Nothobranchius furzeri: one gene and its partners. The protein of the gene in region 2 interacts with the protein of the main gene of each other region in a biochemical or structural test. Links are inferred from orthologs where the notes say so. Each region holds a gene or a part of one and is shown on either strand. Other genes may lie near its edges.

Evidence for each region.
Region 1: of the proteins of atf2 (region 2) and mapk11, one has a biochemical effect on the other in vitro, tested with the Homo sapiens proteins (4 studies listed by BioGRID and IntAct). The link is inferred for Nothobranchius furzeri from reciprocal best matches to the Homo sapiens genes ATF2 and MAPK11.
Region 3: of the proteins of atf2 (region 2) and mapk13, one has a biochemical effect on the other in vitro, tested with the Homo sapiens proteins (2 studies listed by BioGRID and IntAct). The link is inferred for Nothobranchius furzeri from reciprocal best matches to the Homo sapiens genes ATF2 and MAPK13.

The regions. Positions count from the first base shown.
Region 1 is NC_091741.1:56,926,522-56,930,785, reverse strand, and holds the start of mapk11 (mitogen-activated protein kinase 11), read right to left. Parts: upstream 2,917-4,264; 5' UTR 2,786-2,916; coding exon 2,673-2,785; intron 1-2,672. UniProt on the Homo sapiens protein: Serine/threonine kinase which acts as an essential component of the MAP kinase signal transduction pathway.
Region 2 is NC_091754.1:21,236,127-21,239,783, forward strand, and holds part of atf2 (cyclic AMP-dependent transcription factor ATF-2), read right to left. Parts: intron 3,474-3,657; coding exon 3,377-3,473; intron 3,295-3,376; coding exon 3,176-3,294; intron 3,086-3,175; coding exon 2,960-3,085; intron 2,713-2,959; coding exon 2,534-2,712; intron 550-2,533; coding exon 435-549; intron 1-434. UniProt on the Homo sapiens protein: Transcriptional activator which regulates the transcription of various genes, including those involved in anti-apoptosis, cell growth, and DNA damage response.
Region 3 is NC_091755.1:52,218,923-52,222,217, forward strand, and holds the end of mapk13 (mitogen-activated protein kinase 13), read right to left. Parts: intron 3,260-3,295; coding exon 3,180-3,259; intron 3,015-3,179; coding exon 2,936-3,014; intron 2,754-2,935; coding exon 2,580-2,753; intron 993-2,579; coding exon 907-992; 3' UTR 603-906; downstream 1-602. UniProt on the Homo sapiens protein: Serine/threonine kinase which acts as an essential component of the MAP kinase signal transduction pathway.

The DNA of each region.
Region 1 (4,264 bases), on a different chromosome or scaffold from region 2:
CGAGCAGATACAATTGCCATACTTGGCGTCAACAGGTCATAGACCACTCCCGTATTGCCACAATAGGATAGATTATCCAGAGTTATCTCTGTAGTTATGCTGCTATAGGCTTAGACTGCTGGAGGATACACTGACCACTTCTCACACTCTACTGCTTTCTTCTACAGTCTGCTCTTTAACTGTACTATTTTGTCCAATTTCAGCTGTTAACTTTATTTTCTCTGTAAGTGTTTTTCTCCCCAGAAGAAGCGACAACGACGTTCTGCTGAGCTGTGGTGGCCTCATGGAGGGGGCCATCGACTAGCACACTGCTGCTAACCACTTAAACATTCTCTCTCTCCTGATAATAACTTTTTGGTTTCCTTGACTTTTGATGTGCTAATACTAGTTTATCCATTTACTTATAGATCCACTAGGATAAATACAATAAAGTTTATCTTTCACCAAATAGAATATTTACTAAGACATCACAATATAACTGTAGACACATTACTTGTGTGTGTGTGTGTGTGTGTGTGTGTGTGTGTGTGTGTGTGTGTGTGTGTGAGTGAGTGAGTGAGTGAGTGAGTGTGTGTGTGTGTGTGTGTGTGTGTGTGTGTGTGTGTGTGTGTGTGTGTGTGTGTGTGTGTGTGTGTGTGTGTGTGTGTGTGTGTGTGTGTGTGTGTGTGTGTGTGTGTGCTCTGTCTTCTCGATCCCCAGTGAGTCGAGGAGGATGGCTGCTTATACTGAGCCAGGATTCTCTGGAGGTTTCTTCCTGTTAAAAGGGAGTTTTCCTCTCCACTTTCGCTTTATGCTTGCTTGGTATGAGGATTGCTGTATAGTCACTGACACCAGTTAGTGACTTGATGCAATCTGCTGGGTTCCTTATATAGGAAACATTATTTCTGATTGGCTTAATGAACTGACCTGAATTGGAATTTTTATTATGTGAAGTGCCTTGAGACGACTCTTGTCGTGATTTGGCGCTGTATAAATAAACTTGAATTGAATTGAATTAAACCACCAAATTTTTTCCGAGCGTGGCTGAAGCTCACCGCTCCCCTCCATGGGGATGAGTCAAATGCAGAGATGAATTTCACCAGTGTGTGATGATGACTATGGGATTTTAACTTATAATCACAGAGGACTGTGAAAAAAACTTTATTTTTTTAACACTTCACTACATGTTTTAATGTCATTTGCATCTCGGAATTCTACAGGGTTAATGAAAATATAACATCTCTGTCAACAAACATGCTCTGTTCCAACAACCCTAACAAGAGTGTATTCTGAAGTTAGAATAATAGGCCTCATAAATCTGTATTTTAAAATTTGATCAAATTCTTGAATGCTGATAATTATTATAACTGCTGAAGAAATTATGATTCAGGTTCTCATATTTCCAATATGATGCTACTCTGAGCTGTATTTATAGCTGCAAAATGTAACCCTCCACCTCCAGTGAGAGCACGAATCATAATGTAGAGTTCAGATCATACATTAATAGACTGGATTTTTACAAACGTCATGCTGACAGGAAGTCAGTTGTTAGGAAGAAAACTGCTTAGTGAGCATGCAGGAAAATACAACTGTTAGGTGTGGCTAAAAGGTCTCAAATTTAATCTGACACAATCCTTGAAGTAGAATAAAGCTTTAATTGACAAAATGATTAAATAAAGTAAAAGTAAGAAAGGAGGTATTTTAATGTAGAAGCTCAAATGAGATACTTCTTTGCTAACAGGAGATTTGAACAAGAGATGCCTTAACCCTTACAAAGCTTTGGTTAAAACAATGATTACCTAAATTTTTGCATGGTCAGGCAGGCCTGAAGGTTTGTGTCTTTCAGCTTGAAGTTAAACTCTGCTGGTCTCATCAATCAACATAAGCGTAAAGATGTTTAACTCACTTCTGTCTTAGCTGCTCTCTCTGTCAGTTTCAAAACACTTCCAAAAACCTGAATTTTGTATTTTTCAAATAATTCAGACTCCTCTTTGCTTTCTTGGATAACCATCTGGCTAGGTTGATAATAGCCTAATTAGTATTGACTGTCAGAAACAATGGTCACTTTGACACATCACCATGGCAACTGCATCCAACCAGGTGATGGGGAATTTTACTAATTTTCAAGAAACTGCAAGTTTCATGCAGAAGAATTAGTGCCGTAGAAATATCATTGTGCAGACAAATGAGGATGCTGCTGGATGCATGTGAAGATGCAGGTAGAGAACAGAAGAGGCAGGTGTTTTTTGGGTTAAGTGGGGGACAGGTTTGGGGGGCTCCGCTTTTGAAATTCCGGTAGTAGTGACGCTGTCTTATTCCTTAAATCCCATCATGAACAGCACACATCGATGGGACAAAACAACCCTTCACTGATGATGTGTGTTTCATAGTAATGTTCATATCACATCAGCTACACTGACACATGTTGGTAGGAATGTTAAATATTTGGAGAGTGAAAACTACAATTTTTTAATTTTAATTCAACAATAAATTCGCACTTTATACCAGACAATCCTCATTCTGAGACCATGCTCGGTCTCAGAATGAGGATTGGTCACCATACAATGACTGTTGCGTTATAGGAGCTACCGCTTGCTTGTGTAGCTGTGCAGCCTCGCCCCTCCGCCCGCACTGCACACACGCACACTCCCTCACACACACTATCACGCAAATTTATCTACACAAACACTCACCACACCGAGCCGTAAGCTCCAGAGCCCACCGGCGTCAGGTTCTGGTACCGCTCCGGAACCTCCCACACAGTTTTGTTCAGCTCCTGCCGATAAAATCCCGGTCTGGCGGACATTTTTACATCCGGATACAGAAATTAAAAAAAAGGAGGACAGATATCTGTGGATGGACCGCCGCCGACTACCTGAGCGGCTCCTGCTGCTGCTGCTCGTACCGACGCACCGGCCAGTCAGTGAGAATCCCCTCCTCCCCTCCGCAGTCGCTGCTCCAGAGCACCCCCCACCCCCACGTCCTCATCCACTCATAAATGTGTGTGTGTGTGTGTGTGTGTGTGTGTGTGTGGGTGGGGGGGTGGGGGGGGTGGGGGGGGGGGGTTATACAATAGATTAGGCACTGCGTTCGTCATATTATATTATATTATATCATATCATATTATATTATATTATATTATATTATATTATATTATATTATATTATATTACATTATATTATAATGTAATACCTCTAAAATATGCTGGATACCACCCCACCAGAACCGGAATTATATACCCCAGCTTTAGAGTTACTTGTGGAGTACCACAGGGCTCAGTGCTTGGACCAATATATTTTTTATTTTTTGTCTTTATTTTATTTTGAACATGCGTACATACACATAGTAATACACACAACATAAGCAACTTCTCCTTCTCATTTTTTCCACATGTTCAAAAGGGAATAGGAAGAAGCATCAGTTTATTTAATCCCACCCCTTTCTTGACACCAAATAACTAATTATTATTTAATGTTGTCAGGTAGTTTTTGGCAAATTACTTTGCAAAATATTCACATAAATGGCACATGGTTTACTAAAATCATTCAATTCAATTCAAAAATACTTTATTAATCCCAGAGGGAAATTGATTGCTGTAGTAGCTCAGAATAATAATAATAATCAAGTCATCAAAGAGTTATTGTATATTACAATGGCTGTTGGCAGGAAGGATCTCCAGTAGCGGTCAGTGTTGCAGCGAAACTGAAGAAGCCTCTGACTGAAGACACTCTTCCGTTGTCGGACAGTCTTGTGAAGAGAATGCTCAGGGTTGTCCATAATTTTCTTGATTCTCTGGAGAATATCTCCTCCAGTGGTTCCAGAACTGCCAAAACTCTGGCTGAGTCCTTGAAAGGGCTTGAAGTTCCTCCATCTTGTTGGCCAGTGATCTCACATTGCCATCTCTTCCATTGATCATTATGATCAATGGAAGAGATGGTTTGAATTTCCTCTTTCTCTGTCTCCGTTTTGCTCCTGCTCTGCATCCACACTTCTTGCGTTTTAGCTCATTTGGGATTTGTGGCGTCAGTTGAGGTAATATTTCAGCCTTTCCAATGTTAATCAGCTGCTCCCGATTGTAAACCAGCTTGTTGCCATGGTTATGCATCATAACAAATGCTCAAAAAGTGAGAAAAGCTAAAAAATAGCAGTAAAAATCCTCCGAGCTTCACAGCACCAGAAACAGAAAAGTAAAGTGTCCAAAAAAAATACAGTTTTTCTTGAGAAACTAGAAGAAAAAATGCCCAAGAAAAGGCAAAACAACAGAGCTACTCCAACATGCAGCCAC
Region 2 (3,657 bases):
TGTTTCTCTTCTTTAATACGCAATTGAAGTTATGCTATTCATGGATAAAAAATCGTGACAAAATCGAAATCGTGATAAAATATTGGAAAAATTGTGATATTCTATTTTTGCCATATCGCCCAGCCCTAACTCTAATCAGAAATAATCATAATACGCAGATAATGGCAAATTCCTTAAAGAGCCAATCACCTGGAAGTTCTAATAAGGGAAACGGTCCTACTGACTTATTACAACTACGGTAAAGATGGGGATCACAAAATTAGCTACCAAATGAAATATGGCAACAAAATGATCATATCTTTGTTAATGACGCTATAACTTGTTCATTAAATAGGTGTTCTGAAAAAAATTATCTAAAATCTAAATTCTGATCATTGGTCATCAAATTTACTTGTTACTACAGGTCAACAGAACATTTCATACAATATACTTACTGGGATTGTAGCTGGAATATGTACACTTGCGCTTGTAATAGATGCAGGTATAGCGACTGGCATGGTCTGGCCATTAGGGAGCTGTAAAAGCACAGGAAAGGTGCCAGAAATCGGGCTGCAAAAGAGACAAAAGTAAAACAGAAAACTAGTTGAAAAGAAAACGTAGTTATCCTAAAGACAAACAGAAATACTTGTACAGGATCGTTATGTTGTTTTCAGATGACAACTGAACTGATCAAGAGAAAAGCGTAAAAAAATACCCAACTAAAAACAGAATAAATGAAAACATTGGACAACATACAAGTTGAACATGACTGATCAGTGACATCAGTATTGCTCATAATACAGTGTAGTATCAAAGTTAAAAAGCTATTGTAATTTGTGAAATACAACTTTAGTTAAGCTTTTCAAATGTAAATGTACACTAGCGTTATGTAAATATGCAATGTTCAAAATAGCATTTTCTACGGTAGCTAGAAATAGATTGTGACATAATGTTGCAATGCATTGTGGCATTTAGCCCTAGACACGCAAGCGTGTATTTTGCATGGGTGCCTATGGGTCTGAGTCGCATCACTCCTCTCAAAGTGATATTTTTGTCTTCAGAAGATATTTAAACAGGAAGTGACCAAGCACCGCTGTTGGTGGGAGTGCTATTTGGTCTCTAGATAGCCAGATCGGATGTTGGAAGGGAGATTTTTTTATTCGTTTTCCAAATAGAGTAGAAGGAGTCACCGCTCGTCTGGGAGAGGTGCTGGATCAAAAAGTGGAATAAACAAAATAAGAATCTGCACACTTCAATCTGCGATGTAGGAGTTTATTGGTCAAGCTTTCGGTCAGAGACCTTCGGTCAGCACAATTCCTGATGAAGGTCTCTGACCAAAAGCTTGACCAATAAACTCCTACATCGCAGATTGAAGTGTGCGGATTCTTATTTTGTTTATTCGTTTTCCAAACCTAGTTAAGGTCTACGACAACATGAAACAGCTGGAAAGGGAAGCGGGCTGAGCTAAAGACAGACAAAGCAAAGCAGTAGCACTTGCACCCAGTAGCACTACTGGTTGTGTAGCGCACCAGGCTAAAGCCAGAGGTGACAGATCATTTGCTTCTGTGGCCCCCAGACTCGGGAACTCTTTCCCCCTGAGCCTGAGATCAGTGGACTCAGTGGACTCCTTTAAAAAGCAGCTGAAAACTCACCTGTTCAGGCTGGCTTTGATGTGACCTTCATCATCACCCTCTCCTTATTCTGCTCTCCCCACCTATTCCGCCTTCCCCGGGATTCACTGATTTCCCTCTTTCACATTCACGCTCTCCCTCTTTGCATTTTTTAATCACAATTGTCTATTTTTGCTAATTTAAAACATATTTTTAATCATTTTTTAAAAATGTTTTATATTTTAATTTTTTTGTTTTTGTGAAGCACCTCATGATTTTGATCTTGAGAGGTGCTATAGAAAAAATAATTTCTTTCTTTCACTAGCACCCAGTCGCACTTGCACCATGATGTCAACTGTAGAATATGCTATTATACTTAATTAAATGGTTTTGATATTGGTTTCTAAATTCACTGTGTTATTTAAAGCAAAATAAATACAGTCAACAATCCTAAATGCAAATTATAAAAATGCTAAATGTCTGTTTTTCAATTATAACCAAGAAAATCTTGTGTAAATGTGCTGCTTTAATTGTTTTCCAACAAACATACAATTTTATCAATAAGGTGCACTTATAAACAACAGTTTTCTGTGAATATTAGAAAGTAAATAAATTTATAAACAACTGAGGAAGCTAAAAGTGATACTGCTCAATGGTATAAGGTAAATAAATGAGCACTGACAGAAAAAACATAAAAATCCCATTTTTTAAACTCAAAACCGAACACTACATTTTAATGAGCAACACTGATTTCATAGAATATTGTGTGAAACGGGGAAAAAAAAATCCTGAAAACTGCAAATAAATGAAAAAACAAACAAGCGCATGCCCCATGAAATACAAACTCACCACAACAGAAGTGCACAAAACAAGATTTGGAAAAAGACACCATGATCTTGTGAAAAACTATATGTACTTTTTAAATGGACCATTCAGTTACTTACACTATAGGTCTATTAGTGGGTGGGACTTGGGAAATAACAGAGCTAGATGTTGGCGATGGGAGAGCCTGCTGTATTACAACATTAGCCTCTGTGGTGGCTAGAAGTACATTGGGGACTTGGAGGGACGCAGGATGGACTATAGTGGATGTTGGCAGTGAGGCTGGCTGCAAAGATAAATCCTGAAAACATCATACAAGACCTTAGCTGCAGGAGCGTTTCAATGCCATCAGATCACGTAATTATTCACCTAATATGTTGTTGCTACGTCATACATGCCGCAAGGTTAGGAGTAGAAATGATCATTTCTATGGTTAATGTTTCAGCTAGAGAATAAGACAAGTTTAGCTTTAGAAATAAGACCTACAAATGACATCTGTGTAATCACCAACAATAAAACACCAGGCTTGGCTAAAATAAAGCTCTTACCTTGTCATCATTTGTAGTCGACTCAGGGTGGGGCAGAGGACTATTTCTATGTGTCTCTATAGTCGTTGGTTCCTCGATTTTGTTGCGTATGACAGGTGTAGCAAGAGGTGACAAATCCAGGGGTAACTGGCCAAAAATACCCCAGAGATTATCAGAAAAAGAGCAAACTGACAGCTTTCAGATCATCTGAAAACATGTTTCCCAACAAAGACCAACCTTTTTCGTGTCATCTTCAGCTGCTTTTTTGAAGTCATGATCAAAGGGACTTGCGAGTTCAATGAAGAGCCCAACTTCCTCGCAGTTCTTCAAAAAGCGAGTAGGTGTAGGAGTTTGGTCTGCAATGGAGAAAAAAGTTTTAGTCACTAAAATTGATGCTGAAATATAATCAAATGCAATAAATCCAACCTAAATGCTTACCAGCAATAATAATGTTGTCATTTCTTGCTGGGCCAAACTTCAGTGTCATCTCGTGTTTGTGTTTGTGGACTGCCAAGTGATCTTCATTTGTGAATCTCTGCACAAACAATAATAATGATCAAAGGTTTCGCAGCTAAACAATTTACACCTGAAGGCAACAAGTTGTTTCTAAAGAAATGCTAAAAAGTTTTAACACTTAATGCTACTGCTTTGAAAGTGGTTTCAGTGGTTTTTAAGGCAGAAACTTTAGGAACTTCACATTATACAGAACTCTGCAGCCC
Region 3 (3,295 bases), on a different chromosome or scaffold from region 2:
TTTCAAGTGATGAAATTGTCGTTTAAGCTATCGTTTTGGTTTGCAGGATACATCAAAGAAGTTATACACCTTTTTTAACATAACGATTTTATTTTGATGACGGAAAGCATCACTTCCGCTTAGTGTCAGTTTGTGATTTACCTTGGTTGGTAAAAGTTCAGTTGCCCAGAACCTGCCCCTTTTGACGTCATTAGACAACGATTTTCGCGCGCAGGCGACCTAACGGGAGGTTCATCTCAAATTGTCCTTAGCTCTCATCCTATTGTCATTTAGCTCGGTTCTCCTTCAAGACCCTTATGAGTTAGTCTATTTAAAAATGTACTCTGAAGGATTTTATTAATCTAAAACAACTTATATGAGGATACTCACTCTTGTGCCATCTGTAAAAGCATTTGAACGTTTGATGGCAGCTTGATGCATTAATCCCTCAAGTAAATCATTTGAAAAGTAGTAGCTGCTGGTTGCCTACCTTCTGGGGCCTCTGAAGCAACCATAGACAAAACCAAGTCATGCAAATTATGCTCAGTATTTGCACCACAAGGCTGAGGTTGACTTAATAAGGTACACATGTAAGTTATCATACAAAAACAACACCACACAAATTGTATCACATTGTTTAATTGTAAACCTGTTTTACAGTAAACCCTACAGGAAACCTGTTAGCTTTTAGTGACAAATACTTTGCAACACTGAAAGGGAATGTGTAACAATCTACACTCAGGAAATTATTCCACAATACATAAAAAGAAGAGAGCAGTTTTAAAATAAAGCACAATTCTTAACATTGATTAAAAATCTAAATAAAGCAAAAGTGGAGGAAATAGTGTGGGTGTGGAATAAACAAGGGCACAGTCGCCTGTATGCTGTGAAAGTTGGGCCGCCAGGAAGTGGATTGAATTCATCAGATCAAGGAGTCATAGTCAGAGTGTTTTTCCTCTTGGAGTCTCTCCGTGGGAATGGCACAAAGCTTTTTACCTCTTTGAAACATAACCCTATGGGAAAAGAGCAGAGTTAGGTTACCATGTGTGAAGCATATTTATAGAATATTTTTTCTACCATTTCCTTTTATTAAAGGTAGGGTAGATGATCCTAGAAAAGTCATTCAAGCAAGCTAAATTTTTAAAATACACGCTTCAAATGTTTATCCCCCTTTATTCAGGCTCCCTTGAGCCATGCCTGCAGAATACAGGAGAATACCGGACTCAACGGATACTGTCAAACAACTATAACAAAACATTATCTTTTCTTTTAAACTCATTGTTGGCACATTTTCTGCCATAATTCCTAACGTAACACACCTACTTAATAGCAGTGAAGCCTCTGTTGTTGCTCATGAGTTCTCTAGACTCTGTCTGCACTGAAAGTTGAAGAGAGGGAAGCCTGGCACATTGATCCAGTGAGATGTACTGGGCTTATTACACTATACCACTTCTGCTCAGGCTAAATAAACGTAAAACAATTTAGTATGCTAACTAATATAGCTAGCCGAGATTTGGCTTGACTTGCTGTTCAGCTGCTCCGAACTGAGAATGCACGATTCGTGCACAAAGAGGGATATGTGGAGAGGGAGGGAGAGATGGTCAGAGGGCAATTTGATGGAAGGATAAGGATCCAATCTTTAACAACGAGATGTTCACAATGAGTGGACAAGTTTTTCCAGGATTGTACATTTCAAAGCGATTAAACTATTCTGTTTGTTTGAGTAAACATTTAATTCAATGGTTGCCATCAGTAGGTGAAGAGAATTTCAAGCAATATGACAGGAAATGCTCCATCAAAACACCTCCTCAGGATCTACTGATTTCCCTCTTTCCTATTCACTCTCTCTTTCTTAACATTTTTCTTTTAAATCCCAATTGCCTATTTTTCCTCATTTTATTTTTAAACATCTTCTAAATGCTTTTTTATATTTTTTAATTTTTTTTTGTTTTTGTGAAGCGCCTCGTGATTTTTATCTTGAGAGGTGCTATAGAAATGATACTTTCTTCTTCTTCATCTCCTTCAAAAAACAAAGCAGAAATCTGGAGTTTTTATCTGACAGCACCATCTAAAGGCAGAAAAGTGCATTGCACCTTAAGCCGTTCTCCCCACTTCTGTATTTACGGCCAAAAGCAATGCCTCTTGCTAAAACATGCTGTTTTACAAATATTAGTCTCACATTGTGCTGTTTGTTCATATATAAATATATTTTAAAGAATTACTTGTCCTAAGAAAAGTTGCCAACTCTGTATCATTTTAGGTATTTCCACTCTGTGACTGACATAGTAAGTAGGCAGATGTCTGATGCTATTGGCGAATGCTGCATGGCACCCAGTTCAAAGTGCATGGGGCTCTACAGGACTGGGATGGGCATAGCAATAAATTTTTTTGACATACTGCCTACATTATATCACAATACAGGGTAAGACTATTGCTTTTATAAATTTCTAAGAAATCATACCCAATTCGTGAAAGGGGGGAAACTCTGGATTTCTGATTTAATGTCAATTGTCATTATATTTGATGTTGCATTTAACATATTGAACACATGGACTGTTTTTCTACGAATGTTTGCTCATTTTATATTTTTTCTCACATACGTTTCCACTCATCCAGGGCCAGTGTTGCATTGTCATAGCTGTCATCATAAGGCTTAGGCTCAGGAAAGTCATCGGGGTCCCGTAAGCTGTCAAAGTACGGGTGCTCCAGAGCAAGTTCAGCAGTGGGCCTCTCATCTCCGTCCAGAACCAACATCTTTTCAAGCAGCTCGATGGCTGAAAGTATAACAGAAGATGCAGCCATTAAATCAAGCGTAAAATAAAATCTCAAAACCTAAAGCAATAAAAATTTAATTCATGTGCTCCACAAGGCAGGTTTTTATACCCATTACTAAAAGTAAAGATCACATTTATTAATGCTACAAATTACACTGAGAACAACAAACATATATACCCACCCCTTTCACTGGCTACAGGAAACAATGTTGAGAAGTCTTTTCTTGGGTAACGAGGAAGGGACTTTATATAAGTTTTAGCCTGTTTTGGAGCCAAAAGATAAACAGATTTGAAAATAAATAAAATGAGTTTTAATATATCGATAGGAGACAATGAAACAGTGGACAAAACAAATGAATCTCAAAAGAAGTCGCTTCCAGTGAATAAAAAAGTAGAACTCATTAACTTTGTGAGGACTTATCTGACCTCTTGGCTTTCCAGTTTCTGAATAAACTCTGGTCCAGGTACTCCAGTCACTTTCATGATTTGAGTCAGCTGGTCCATGTCTGGTAGTAAACAAGTAAAGGAAGTTTTTTCTTTTT